3 linked regions of the Tribolium castaneum genome follow. The protein of the gene in region 3 binds, or shares a complex with, the protein of the main gene of each other region. Links are inferred from orthologs where the notes say so. Each region holds a gene or a part of one and is shown on either strand. Other genes may lie near its edges.

Region 1 (3,262 bases), on a different chromosome or scaffold from region 3:
GACTTGTTTTTGTGTTTAATTTTTAAACTTTCATCTCGCGCTTCTTTTCGTCTGTCAGTCATTTGGCAGCACTGCCACATTTTTTGCCGCTAGTGTGAGGATTTGAAATGTAATTTAAGAGTAAAAAATGCCAAAACGGCCTTATCCGGATTACGATATCGTACAACCGGTGAAAAAACAACAAAATAGTTTATCAAAATCGCGGAAAATTCGCTCATCGTCGTCAGGTAACCACATTGAGGTTATGTCAGTTTTTTATTATTTGTTTCAGAGCGGACGCTCCAGTTATTATATAAGGGGGCCTCCAAACGCGAGAAAAATGAGGTAGAATATGTGAATCGGTGTGAGACTTTATTAATTTGATTTGTAGGAACCTCATTCACTGATGTGTACTGTATGTTCAAAAGAAGCCCCCTCGGGGGTCATTTGTAACTATTGTGAACACGCGTTATGTTTGCAGTGCACAAATATGTGCCATAAATGCAGTAATGGGTTTTGTAACGATTGCTCATTTCCCACGTGAGTGGCTTTGTTCCGAGTGGCTCAAAAAATTAAATGTTTTTTTTTAGATACGATCATAATGTCGCAGTTTGTTATTCCTGCTACAGTTAGCGCACAATTGTATTAATTTATTGGGTAAAGAAAACAATCATTATGTAACATGATAATATTTATTGATATAAAATATAATATTAAATGAATTAATCATCCCAGTCTTCGTCTTCGGTATTATTCTCGTTGCTCTCGCTACGAATGGGCGGCGGAATCATGGCCGAGATTTTTTCTAACGCACTACTTGCGTCCAAACTTTCCTGCTTTTTAGTACCTGAGATGCCCTTCCTGCGCATGGAAAGCTTGGCGTGCAAATCAGCCATCAAGTCGCCCCCAGTCTGTAAAACAAATAACTAATTATTAAACTTTTTCAATCAACAAAAGTCGAAAACTAACCACGGGTTTTGCCGTCGTTTGCTCCCTGTCGGCACTTGTGGCTTTCAAATTTTTGGCGCCCCCCGCTTTCCTGATGGCCTCCATGAGGCTGGCCCGCACGTCCAGCTGGGGCAGTTCGGTGATTTTGGGGGCTTCCTCCACCTGTTCAGTGGGTGGTGTGGGCGGTTTGGGCGTTTCAACCTTCTCTGGGACTTGCTCCTCAATTTCTTTGGCGGGTGTTGGGGGCGGCGGGAGTTCGATTTCGGGGAAGTCCTCCTTGGGCTGGGGGTTGGCGGGTTCGATTGTGGGCAGGTCGGGGATGTTCGGGGTCGTGGTGACTGAGGGGGCGATCCCGGGGCCCAACTCCGTGTCGTACCGCAGGTCGTCGGCAATGTTGGGCAAATCGGGCAGATCCAGGGGCACGTCGAGCGCCGGGACTTCCCCCAAGTTGGGGGTGTAGAAGTAGTTCTGGGTGGAGGAGCGCGTCAGGGTTGAGCGTTCGCTGATTGAGAAGGGGGCTGCCCCGATGCTCGAACTGTCGTTGTGGTCTTGTTCTTTGATTTGTTGGGAGATTTCCAAAGGGTCGGACATTACGAAATTCGTGTAGAGGTTTTTGCCGGAATTGTAGAGGAGTAGGTCGTTTACGCATTCCGAGTCTTTGGGGATTTCCCCCAAGCCGCCGAACGTCTCTTTGTTCTCATTTTTTTTGAGTTTCACGTGGTAGATGTACAATTTATCTAAATGTTCATCGTTTGATGGGGCTTTTTTCTGCTTCACTTTATGTCGTACTAATTCAGGAGGTTTAACGTCGCTAAATATTGAAATATAGGGTTGATTTACATCGGACGCTGGGTATTTACAACTTGAAAACACTTGTGTTGCTTTTTTTGCACCGTTCAATTTGTTTATTTTCATTTTCACTTTATCGACACGTTCGGATATGTTTGATATCTTTTTTCTGCTAGATTCAATTCTGTTATTTATATGTTTTAATATGTCATCTGTTACGTTCGTTAAATGATTTAATACTTCAGCCACCTGAACGATTGTTTCCTGTTTATTCAAGTTTTGAGGGATTACAGGTACTTTGTAAACATGATTCATTTTAAATAAACTAACTACATTAATTAATTAAAAAAATGACACTACACTCTACACTTTTTGCAGGTTATGTTTTGTTTTTTACGTCATCTTATCACAGCAGTGTCGCCATTCGCAAGCTCAATAAATTAACATTTACTAGTAATTTCAAATTGTGTTAGGACAAAAAATTGTTTTAGGTTTTAGGAATAAAAATAAAACACATTGACGTATTAATTTCTATATTACGGCATAGAAAGAAGAAGACGGCGGACCCGTGGGTCACGCTGTGAATGATGTGATTTGTGGATTAAAATAAAATATCGAAAGAAAGATATAGATCTAAAGATAATTTGTATACAGAAGTACGTTTAAAAATGTGACAATTCTGTCTTTGAAAGCCTTAAAACAGCCTTCAAAAACAGAGTCGCAATTCCGGTTTCTTAACAAGAGTTGTTGATTGCTCTGCTGTAAGTTGATAAAGGCAAGTTATTGTGGAGTATAATTGCTTCAGTAATTTCTTCAAGTAGAGCAATTAACTTGTAACAATTTGTCGTAATATTGACAATAACAATAATAATTTAAAATGTGGAGGACCGTAAAAAATCCTCATTATAAAATAATACTTTCCAAAATCACTAACGTCAAAACGGCTAAACAAACTGGTTGCATTTAAATTATTTTAGTGCTAGAGGGTGTTGGCACTACTTAATAAAAAGCGTATCAATTCAACTGGACTAGCGTCTGGGATGAGACAAAACAAACAAACCATTGGACTTCATCACAAAATCAATCAGATACACTTATTAAATCCATTAATAAAACCAGAACGAGTTAAGTACGTAACTTAATACAACTAAAACAATGACATACTAGACCTGATAGTGATTACATATGCACGAGTTTTGTTTCAAACATGTAAGTAACGTATTTTTATTCACGGGAAGGCGTTTCAACATTGCGCCAATTTTTATTAAAATTAAATAAGATCAGAAGCCTTACCCATGAATCAACAGTTGAAACAACGTAACGATTTTTTCACAATTAATGTTTCATAAAATCCTGAGATATGTAAATAAATACTAGCAGAAAAAATACTGTTTGTGTTAAGTAATAATACTTTTGATTCAGTAAAATTATGAAACATGAATTGGTTGAGCAACCATTAAAAAATGATCAATCCTGCATTTATTATAGCTAAACTATCTGGCAACAACTAACATTGACTTAATGCTACCGTGTTCCTTTATTCCTT
Region 2 (4,284 bases), on a different chromosome or scaffold from region 3:
ATTAAAACTGTCACTGATGTGTCAAATTTCGCGTTACAGCCTACTCTAGGTATATTTTTAGCTCGTTAAAAGTGACACTGACAGTGCTCATGTCTTATATTTGAATTTTTTAACCTTTTTTTAAATTAAAAAGCCGCGATATGTCGCCTATTACGCCCAAAATCGAAATCCCCCATCCATCAATGGGGCTGTGATCGGAATTATTACACAAAGTTATACAATTTTAAGTGTGTTGATGTTCAATTGTTTGGAAAGTTTAAAGGTAGATTGTTAGTGTTTTCTAAAGGCTTTATATCTTTATATCAGCTGAAGTATTAAAGTTTTTTACAAGTAAACAGTCTTTCATTGCGTCATAAGCTGCAGCCAACTGTCACCGGAATTAAGGTACATGAATGTTTTGCATGATTTTTTCTTATAACTTGTTTTGTTTTATTAATTGGTTGAGCTTATGTTGGCTAACAATTGGTTTGTTTAGTAGTTTTGCGTGATTTTAAGTTAATTTGTGATTTGGCCAATTTATTAATGATTTTTTGTTAGGGACGCACCAACCCTTCCTACTCAACATTCCATCCGAAGGCATTAAAGTCGAGCCCAGAGGTAATTTAATTTTATATTTTTCCCCGCTTTAGTGTTTTTTTCTAGATAAGGCGCCTTCGCCGTACGGCGGGCAGATGTTCGAGGCGCCCATCCCGAACGTGTCGCCCCATTACGTGGCCCCCACGCCCCCGGAAGCCCCTCTGTTCCAGAACGTGCTTCCGCCAATCGGAGGCATGATGAACTGGAATATGCCTTCGACTTCAGTAGTCGGCGATATGTTAAACATGAATTGGAATCCTTCCGCCCAAAATGATCTCAGTGGTGTTAATTTAAGTGAAACGCCAAGTGGTATAAGCAGTTTATTAAATCTGGACAATCAACAATTGGAGTTGAAACCGATTGACTTAAACTCGGGTGATTTAAGCATGCTTGAGACAAATAACTTGTCAGAGACTTTCACCCAAAATCTATCGCTTATGGACGAGAGTGAGGGGCGCCAGGAGCCGAATATGACTGATAGTTTAACGCGATTGGCCAATAGCGCGCTAGATAATATTTGCCAAGCTAGTGATATGTACAAGGGTGCTCCATGAAACCACCATTACTTAAGTCTAAGTAATGCAAAAGCGAGTTCAATATTTGACATTAAATATAACAGTACTGTGTACCGCCCTAAATTCAATGATAGTTTTCTTATAAAATTGTTAAGGTTTGTAGTTTAGTCTATATCAAGTTTATTTATACTGTGATTGTTTTTATATTTTACAAGATGCAATGTTATTTTATAAATCTGGCATAATAAATCTGTTTTATTGAGCGTGTTTGCGTTTGTTAATTGCATAAAAAGCGATCCTTTCGCCACAATCTAACCTCAAACGTCACTTTTGACAGCTGTCACTCAGGTTCTTTGTGTCCCTTTGGAGCCAATTAATTCAATAAACTTGTGCCGATGCCTTGATTCCCCCTAATTTTGAGTGTTTTTCACTCAGATAATGTAAATAATGCAAGTGAACGACCTTTCCTCAATTGATCCAAATGTGGATTACACGCAGGTAAGTCTTTGAAAAAAGCGACCCATTCGAGCAACAATCACGTCCAACTTCTCCACTTAGATTTTACCCATTCAACAAAAGCGCACGATTGCTTTTATCAATCATTTCGTAATGAATACGGTGTCGTTTTTAAACCATTTTGCACAGTCGTGTGAATCGCGTTTGATGGAATTCGAGTACAAACTGCAAGAAGTTGAGGCTTCTTTACTTATACTTGAGTCGCAAGTAAGTATTGAACAATGCTAGAATGCCTTAAGTTCCGATTATTTGGCGCAAAAGTGAGTCGGTTGTGTTAGTTAGGTTCAATTGCGCATTTAGAAGAAAACACTGCAAAGGACTCGCCTAAACAAAACGATTTAGATCTGCCTCCTGTTAAAGACGAGGAGACGCAAATTGAAAAAAATGTAGAGGTAGAGCCTGATGTTGCGTCAGACCCGCGATATCAACGCTTTTTCAAAATGTTGCAATTTGGGGTTCCCCCAGCTGCTGTCAAGCTGAAAATGCAAACAGAGGGACTTGACCCTTGCATATTGGAGTAAGTACTACTATCACTGGCGAATCAGCAACACGTCCGTTATTTTTTAGTTCCAAATCAACTGATACGCAAGACAGTTCCTCGGTTAATTAATTGTGTTAAAAAAACATTGTTAAAAGTATAAATAAAACACGTTATGAATTTTTACAAAATGTGTTTATTTAGTCAAACAATTAGAACTGAATCATTTGTCCCTTGCGCTTCTTGTCGCCACCCAATTCAAAGTGCTTGCAGCGTTTCAAGGGAATCTGTTTCCTATATTTACATTCAGTGCATTCCATCCTGAGCACGATTTTCTTGGTGGTTTTAGCCTAAAAACACACAATAGCCCCACACTCAAAGTAGGTAAAAAAATACCTTCTTCCTGAAGATGGGCTTGGTTTGTCCACCGAAACCTTGCTGCTTCCTGTCGTAACGTCTCCTACCTTGCGAAGCGTGACGTTCCTTGGACTTTTTGTATTGGGTGACTTTGTGCAACTTGTGCACCTTGCATTTCTTGCAGAAGGTGCGCCTCTGCTTCGGGACGTTAACCTAAAAACAATGACATAACCCCACAATTCATCAAACGTCCTCAAAACGCGAAAATAAACAGGAATGTGCCCTTCCAAGGACGCCAAATGCACGAATTCGCTAAATTTTCGGTAATTCAAAGGCCGATTATTGCGATTTTTTGAGATATTTGATTGAAAACCTGCTTACCATCTTGGGATTTTCTTTATTGCAAAAAAAAGAGAGAGATGCAACGTGTCACACTATGCGCATGCGTCGTTTACATTGGCGCGAATTTTGAATTGCTATATTGGATGAAAGATAGAAAAGTGTTTCGTTATAAGTTTATAGAGTTTTAATTCGTTTCACGTGGTCGCAAGGAAAAATAGAAGAAAAAGTTTTTAAGACGCATTTTTGCGGCCACAAGGGAAAGGCGTTTTAATTAGTGGGTAACAAGTCGTGCCGAATAGTTCCCTTTTAAATTGAGTCAATAATCGGCTGTTTTTCTGCATAATAATAAAATGAATGTGATTGTGGAGGGAAATTTTTTGAAGAGCGCCCCTGGCGGTGGCATACTCAAACCACGTTTTTAATCTCGGTCCGGTTCGTAAAACTCAATCCGTGCTCTCGGAACCCTCATGAGCAAACACCTTGCAATTAATTTCATAAAATCTGGCGCACGTTTTTTGGGTCCGAGACACCGAAAAAGCTTGGAATTTGTTGTCTTTTGGTTTTTGGCGGTTGGTGTGAATAAATAGTTTAGGGAGTCGAAAGCCGGTCACTCGTCCAAGTCCGGGGCCGATCGGTTTGAGCGGCGCCATCTTAATTTTTGAACAAAGCTAACGAGTAGCCGGTCAGTAGTGTTCAACGTTGGTGAACGTCACTTTTCGATAAAGCGTGAAACCCACACAGGAATATAAACAAAATGAGTTCGAAAGAAAATAACGAAGTTGCTGTCGAAAAAATCGACAACGACAAAAGTGCGCCCGACGCCAAATGCGAGTTAAAAGGCACGAAGCGAGCGGCGGAGGTGAGTTCGACTGTTTCTTTCGCATTTACGCTGCTTTGCGATAAGGTCACATGGCCGTTGGATGTTGTGGTCGGGATTTTCGCGTGGAAAACGCGCGGAAACGCCGTTTTCACGCGTTTTCCGCGGGATGGTTGCCATGTGAACGGGGCTTTTTCCCGGCGCGGAGGCGGCTTTGCGACAATACGATGCTAAATTTGTTGTTGCCATGGTGTTTTCGACTGTTTTTCATTATGGCATGCGGTGTAAACACGCTTGGAAAGCATCCCGCCATATACAATGGACCCCGGGTTGAGGCTAGCATCGCTTGCTCGATTCAATATGGCGAAATCAATAGCAACTTGGAGGCGTCCTCGTGCGAGGCTAGATGCCACACTAATATTTTAATAACATCGGATTCTAGAAAGATTTCCGCGTGCGAGTTGACGATTTCGTTGCAAATTTCACGATAACCCGGAGATTGACCACTTTGGTCCGGTTTTTCAATGCAAAGCGTCTCATAAAGCTCGCTGGAATCAACAGAGTTGGACATTTTTGATGCTACGCTAACGAGTGGCAAAGATTAAGATCCATCATGGATCAGAATTGTGAATGAAAAGAGCGTTTTTAGTTAGTTTGCTTGTTTATTTCCATTTTCTCGAGCA
Region 3 (3,655 bases):
GATTGAAGCTGTGATATTTATTTAGAATGTGGATCGTAATAAAACAATTTGTTGAGTGTAAATTTTTGTTTTATTTCACAAAATTCATGTTCAAAAGTCGTTTGCATTATGTACAGGTCGCTAAAAAGTATAAATATTATAAAAACTATCCATCAAAACTGATTGACATTTGGTATATGTTTAAAAGTATTTAAATTCTATTTCTATCTCCATTTGTTCTGGGAAAACAAGGCTAACTTATTTTTTTAATGGCAAGATGGATCAAATTTAATATTTTTAAAAAGAGTTTTTTTCTGTGATGGAACGCATCAATAAAATAATCAATGCATAAAATAACGTAATACTTTTTAGTGAAAAATTACATTTTATTAAAAAAATAACAGATGGCGCCACACAATGCGACCCCTAAATAATCAGTCTAGGAAGCAGAGGCGACTAGAGTTTGTTGTAAATGCAAAATTTCATCGGGAATTTCTTCTTTCAAACACTTTCGGGAAGACTCTGAGTAATTGGTGTACGTTTCCAGAAAACTCATAGCTAGTGACACCTCCAAAGGCAATTCGGTATTTTTTATACTGAAAAAATGCTTCAAACTTAAAAAACTCGACAAGTGTTACTCACCTTATGCTATATCTAGTCAACTGTACGACATAATTGGATAATAATTTGATGAAACTTTCGTTTAATTTATTATGGAATTGTTTGACAAGGGTGTGGATTGCGACAGTAAATGCGGTTCCGTCGATTTGATCCGCATTTCGTTTGTTGGCGTTTCCTAAAGTTTTAAGTTAATAAATCGATTAAGCAAGCAAATAAGTGTCTTACCTAACTGACGTAGAAAAAAAAGTTTACTAAAATGTGCAATCGCAAAAACGAAAATAGTAATGTAATGATTATCGTCAAACTTTGACGTGATGTATATTTTGTTGAAGGGATTATTCAGGCCCGAATAATCGAAATAATGCGATAGTTTGGACATGATGTCCTCACTTGGGGCACACTCGCCGTTCACAATGTCGAGTAACAAAGCCCTAAAAATTATTTAAGTCCTAAGAGAGTGAAAAAAAATCGAAATATTATACTTATTGAGTGAACGTAGAGACGATTCTAAATTTTTCGCATTAAACTTGCAGGATTTATTCAAATGAAAAGCGATTAAGTTCCTCAAAAGCTGCAATTGTCCGACCAACAAAATGCAATCAAGAAACTCGTTCCAAATTTTCGTCGTTCGATTAACACAGTTCTGGTAAAACTTGATGGGGTTGTTCACATTTTCGCTCCCGATCATATCTTTATGAATACTCGCCAAAACGTTATGCCATGCGTTCGTTTTGGCGTTTTTCATTTCCAAATACCCGGACAATTTTTGCAAATTTGAAATAATCATGAAGGAGAAGAGCCGGTCAAGGCCCACCAAGCCCGAAATTTCGATAGCAGACGCTACTAGAGCTATGGTTTCTTTGTTGAAGATTGGTTTGTGACTTTTGATGTCGTACCAAGTCGATGTTTGTTCGAGATAAACGGACTGTCTGGGAAAAAATTGGAGCAAATTGCACAATAATCGAAAATTTGACTCACTTGGGATCGGTCAATTTGATTATTTCGCGCGCTAATCGCCCGATGAAATTTTCGCTAGAAGAGTCCGTGCTTGGGTAGAGCGGGATTGGGACGTAACGGCTCTGGAAAGCGCTTTCCCAAGTGTGGATTTTGTTGCGCAAAAAGCCGTTGCATTCCTGCTCCACGTTGTAGTTGATGATTCGAGTCACTTCCTCTTGCCAGATTTTTAAACCGTTGATGTTGATGTAATCCTGTCCGAAAAATGAACAAAGTAGAACCAAAACTGGTATTTTTACACTTTCTGTACCACCACCACAACAAAAATTAATTAAGTTCTCGTTTTTGTTAAAGGAATTCACAATAACATGTTTTAAATCAGCTAGCAAATTTCAAATTGCGCGCTTCGACGAATCAGCCAATCAAGTGGCAGCGACGTGATGTCAAGCGTTAGTTAGTATGTGATGCGCGTCGTTTCCTTTAAGTTTTTCGTGTTTGCGGGTTGATTTTTGCGTGTTTTGAGACAAAACCAGTGAAAATTAGTTCGATACGGATTTCTGGAGCTGCTACGAGCCGTTTTTGAAGACAAGTAACTAAGGTTAGTCAGTTCTCTTTTAGGTTATATGTATGCAAAAAAATGTTGCGATGTCTTTAATTATAACAACGATAAGGATACATACTTTTTGCACAGAAAGCCCATCAAGTTTTGATTTTGTTGTTTTGTTGTAAAAATAACCTTGACACAGAATAAACATTCTCCCTGTGCAAGGATATGACTGATGTACAGTGTGATTTTTTAAAAACGAGCCACCCTGAATATCTCCGAAAATAAACAAAAAATTAAAAAATCACGAGACAGGGCAACATCACAGCCGAATTTCTGGTGTAAATACCTTTTATTTGAGGTATCATAAAGGGGGCTATGCCATTTAAAATTTTAAAGGAGTTGTTTGTACTACAAAGGGAGTTGGTGTTACAAGTTTAAAAAAAAAGTGTCCCCGTGAAAATGAAAATCAGGATTTTCTAATTTTTCTGAGATATTTAGGGTGACTCGTTTTAAAAAAATGTATTTATTATATCACGTGGAAAATGATATTAAATTAGTTTGCCTTTTTGGTAGATATAACTTATTTTCGTCTGTTTCATTCGATATCAGTTCGTATTTTGATTAAAAGATGCCACAAACTCATACTGATTTTCAAAAATAAAAAAAACTTAGCCGAAAAGGTGTCTTTGATAGGAATTCTCTATGTTTTTTTGTGAGATTTTGCTAAATACTATTGAAACTAAGAAAATGATTAATCATTTTTGTACTCTTTCTAGCCAAAATTACAAGATTAAGCAGAAAACGTCGTTAGGTTTGCTTTTTTCGATTACGTAAGCAAGTTTTTAAGTTTTCTCAAATTGCCTAAAAAAATCACGAAATTAAATCGAAAATGTAAGTTATTTGACGTTATTTTCTTCATTCCGGATTCTAGCTGATCTCTGTTCGAAAATTTATTTAAAAAAAAATCGAAAAAACAAATGTGGTAAAAATTTGTTCTTTACAACGCCTCGGCATATTAGAAAACAATTTTTTTGTTATCAGATTTTTTTGTTTTGTTTTGTTGTCAAAAATGATATCGAATTTGCTTTTTCTGAGCGTTATTCTGTTCAAAAATAGTGGTTTTGTTTTGTAAAATTACTAAATTTTGTTGGAAATTACGTTATTTTTATTTTCTATTTTCGTGTGTTTTCAGACGTTCGTCCGTTAGAAATACAATTATTTTACAAAATTTCGTAAAAAATTAGATAAAAACATGAATAAATTTGGCTTTTACACGTTTCTGAAGTAACCAAGTTTATTTTTAAGATCAACAAATAGAAAATCTGGTCAAAACATTTTCAATTTTTATTTGAGATTGTTTTGTTAAAATAATAAGATACTAGGTATTAATAATTAATTAAGATGATTAATCGTTCTTAAGTTAAAATTATCTTAATTATTTATCTATCTTATTTATCTTATGGTTTTTTCGAGTGTTTTTGAGCAATAAACGCAATTATGAGTCGAAGACAAATTCAGGACTGATGGTTGTACTGATGATTCTCCTCGATAGAC

What was found.
Region 1: Strump (region 3) and wash share a complex: the UniProt entries of both Drosophila melanogaster proteins name them as parts of the WASH complex. The link is inferred for Tribolium castaneum from reciprocal best matches to the Drosophila melanogaster genes Strump and wash.
Region 2: Strump (region 3) and CCDC53 share a complex: the UniProt entries of both Drosophila melanogaster proteins name them as parts of the WASH complex. The link is inferred for Tribolium castaneum from reciprocal best matches to the Drosophila melanogaster genes Strump and CCDC53.

Annotation. Positions count from the first base shown.
Region 1 is NC_087403.1:4,501,258-4,504,519, forward strand, and holds wash (WASH complex subunit 1), read right to left. Parts: upstream 2,133-3,262; 5' UTR 2,032-2,132; coding exon 949-2,031; intron 891-948; coding exon 702-890; 3' UTR 653-701; downstream 1-652. Other genes in the region: uncharacterized protein LOC103314773, read left to right, coding at 128-227, 272-324, 371-519, 570-612. UniProt on the Drosophila melanogaster protein: Acts as a nucleation-promoting factor by activating the Arp2/3 complex to induce actin polymerization. Participates in both linear- and branched-actin networks.
Region 2 is NC_087402.1:711,046-715,329, reverse strand, and holds CCDC53 (WASH complex subunit 3), read left to right. Parts: upstream 1-1,407; 5' UTR 1,408-1,538; coding exon 1,539-1,589; intron 1,590-1,649; coding exon 1,650-1,814; intron 1,815-1,885; coding exon 1,886-2,124; intron 2,125-2,174; coding exon 2,175-2,217; 3' UTR 2,218-2,297; coding exon of another isoform or gene 2,298-2,435; 3' UTR 2,436-2,481; coding exon of another isoform or gene 2,482-2,655; 3' UTR 2,656-2,823; coding exon of another isoform or gene 2,824-2,826; 3' UTR 2,827-3,538; coding exon of another isoform or gene 3,539-3,643; 3' UTR 3,644-3,644; downstream 3,645-4,284. Other genes in the region: RpL36A (large ribosomal subunit protein eL42), read right to left, coding at 2,298-2,435, 2,482-2,655, 2,824-2,826; acidic leucine-rich nuclear phosphoprotein 32 family member B, read left to right, coding at 3,539-3,643. UniProt on the Drosophila melanogaster protein: Acts at least in part as component of the WASH complex which may regulate wash nucleation-promoting factor (NPF) activity and is required for its membrane targeting during endosomal sorting.
Region 3 is NC_087394.1:25,600,874-25,604,528, reverse strand, and holds the end of Strump (WASH complex subunit 5), read right to left. Parts: intron 2,153-3,655; exon of another isoform or gene 2,012-2,152; intron 1,809-2,011; coding exon 1,579-1,808; intron 1,530-1,578; coding exon 1,083-1,529; intron 1,032-1,082; coding exon 826-1,031; intron 776-825; coding exon 622-775; intron 576-621; coding exon 419-575; 3' UTR 345-418; downstream 1-344. UniProt on the Drosophila melanogaster protein: Acts at least in part as component of the WASH complex which may regulate wash nucleation-promoting factor (NPF) activity and is required for its membrane targeting during endosomal sorting.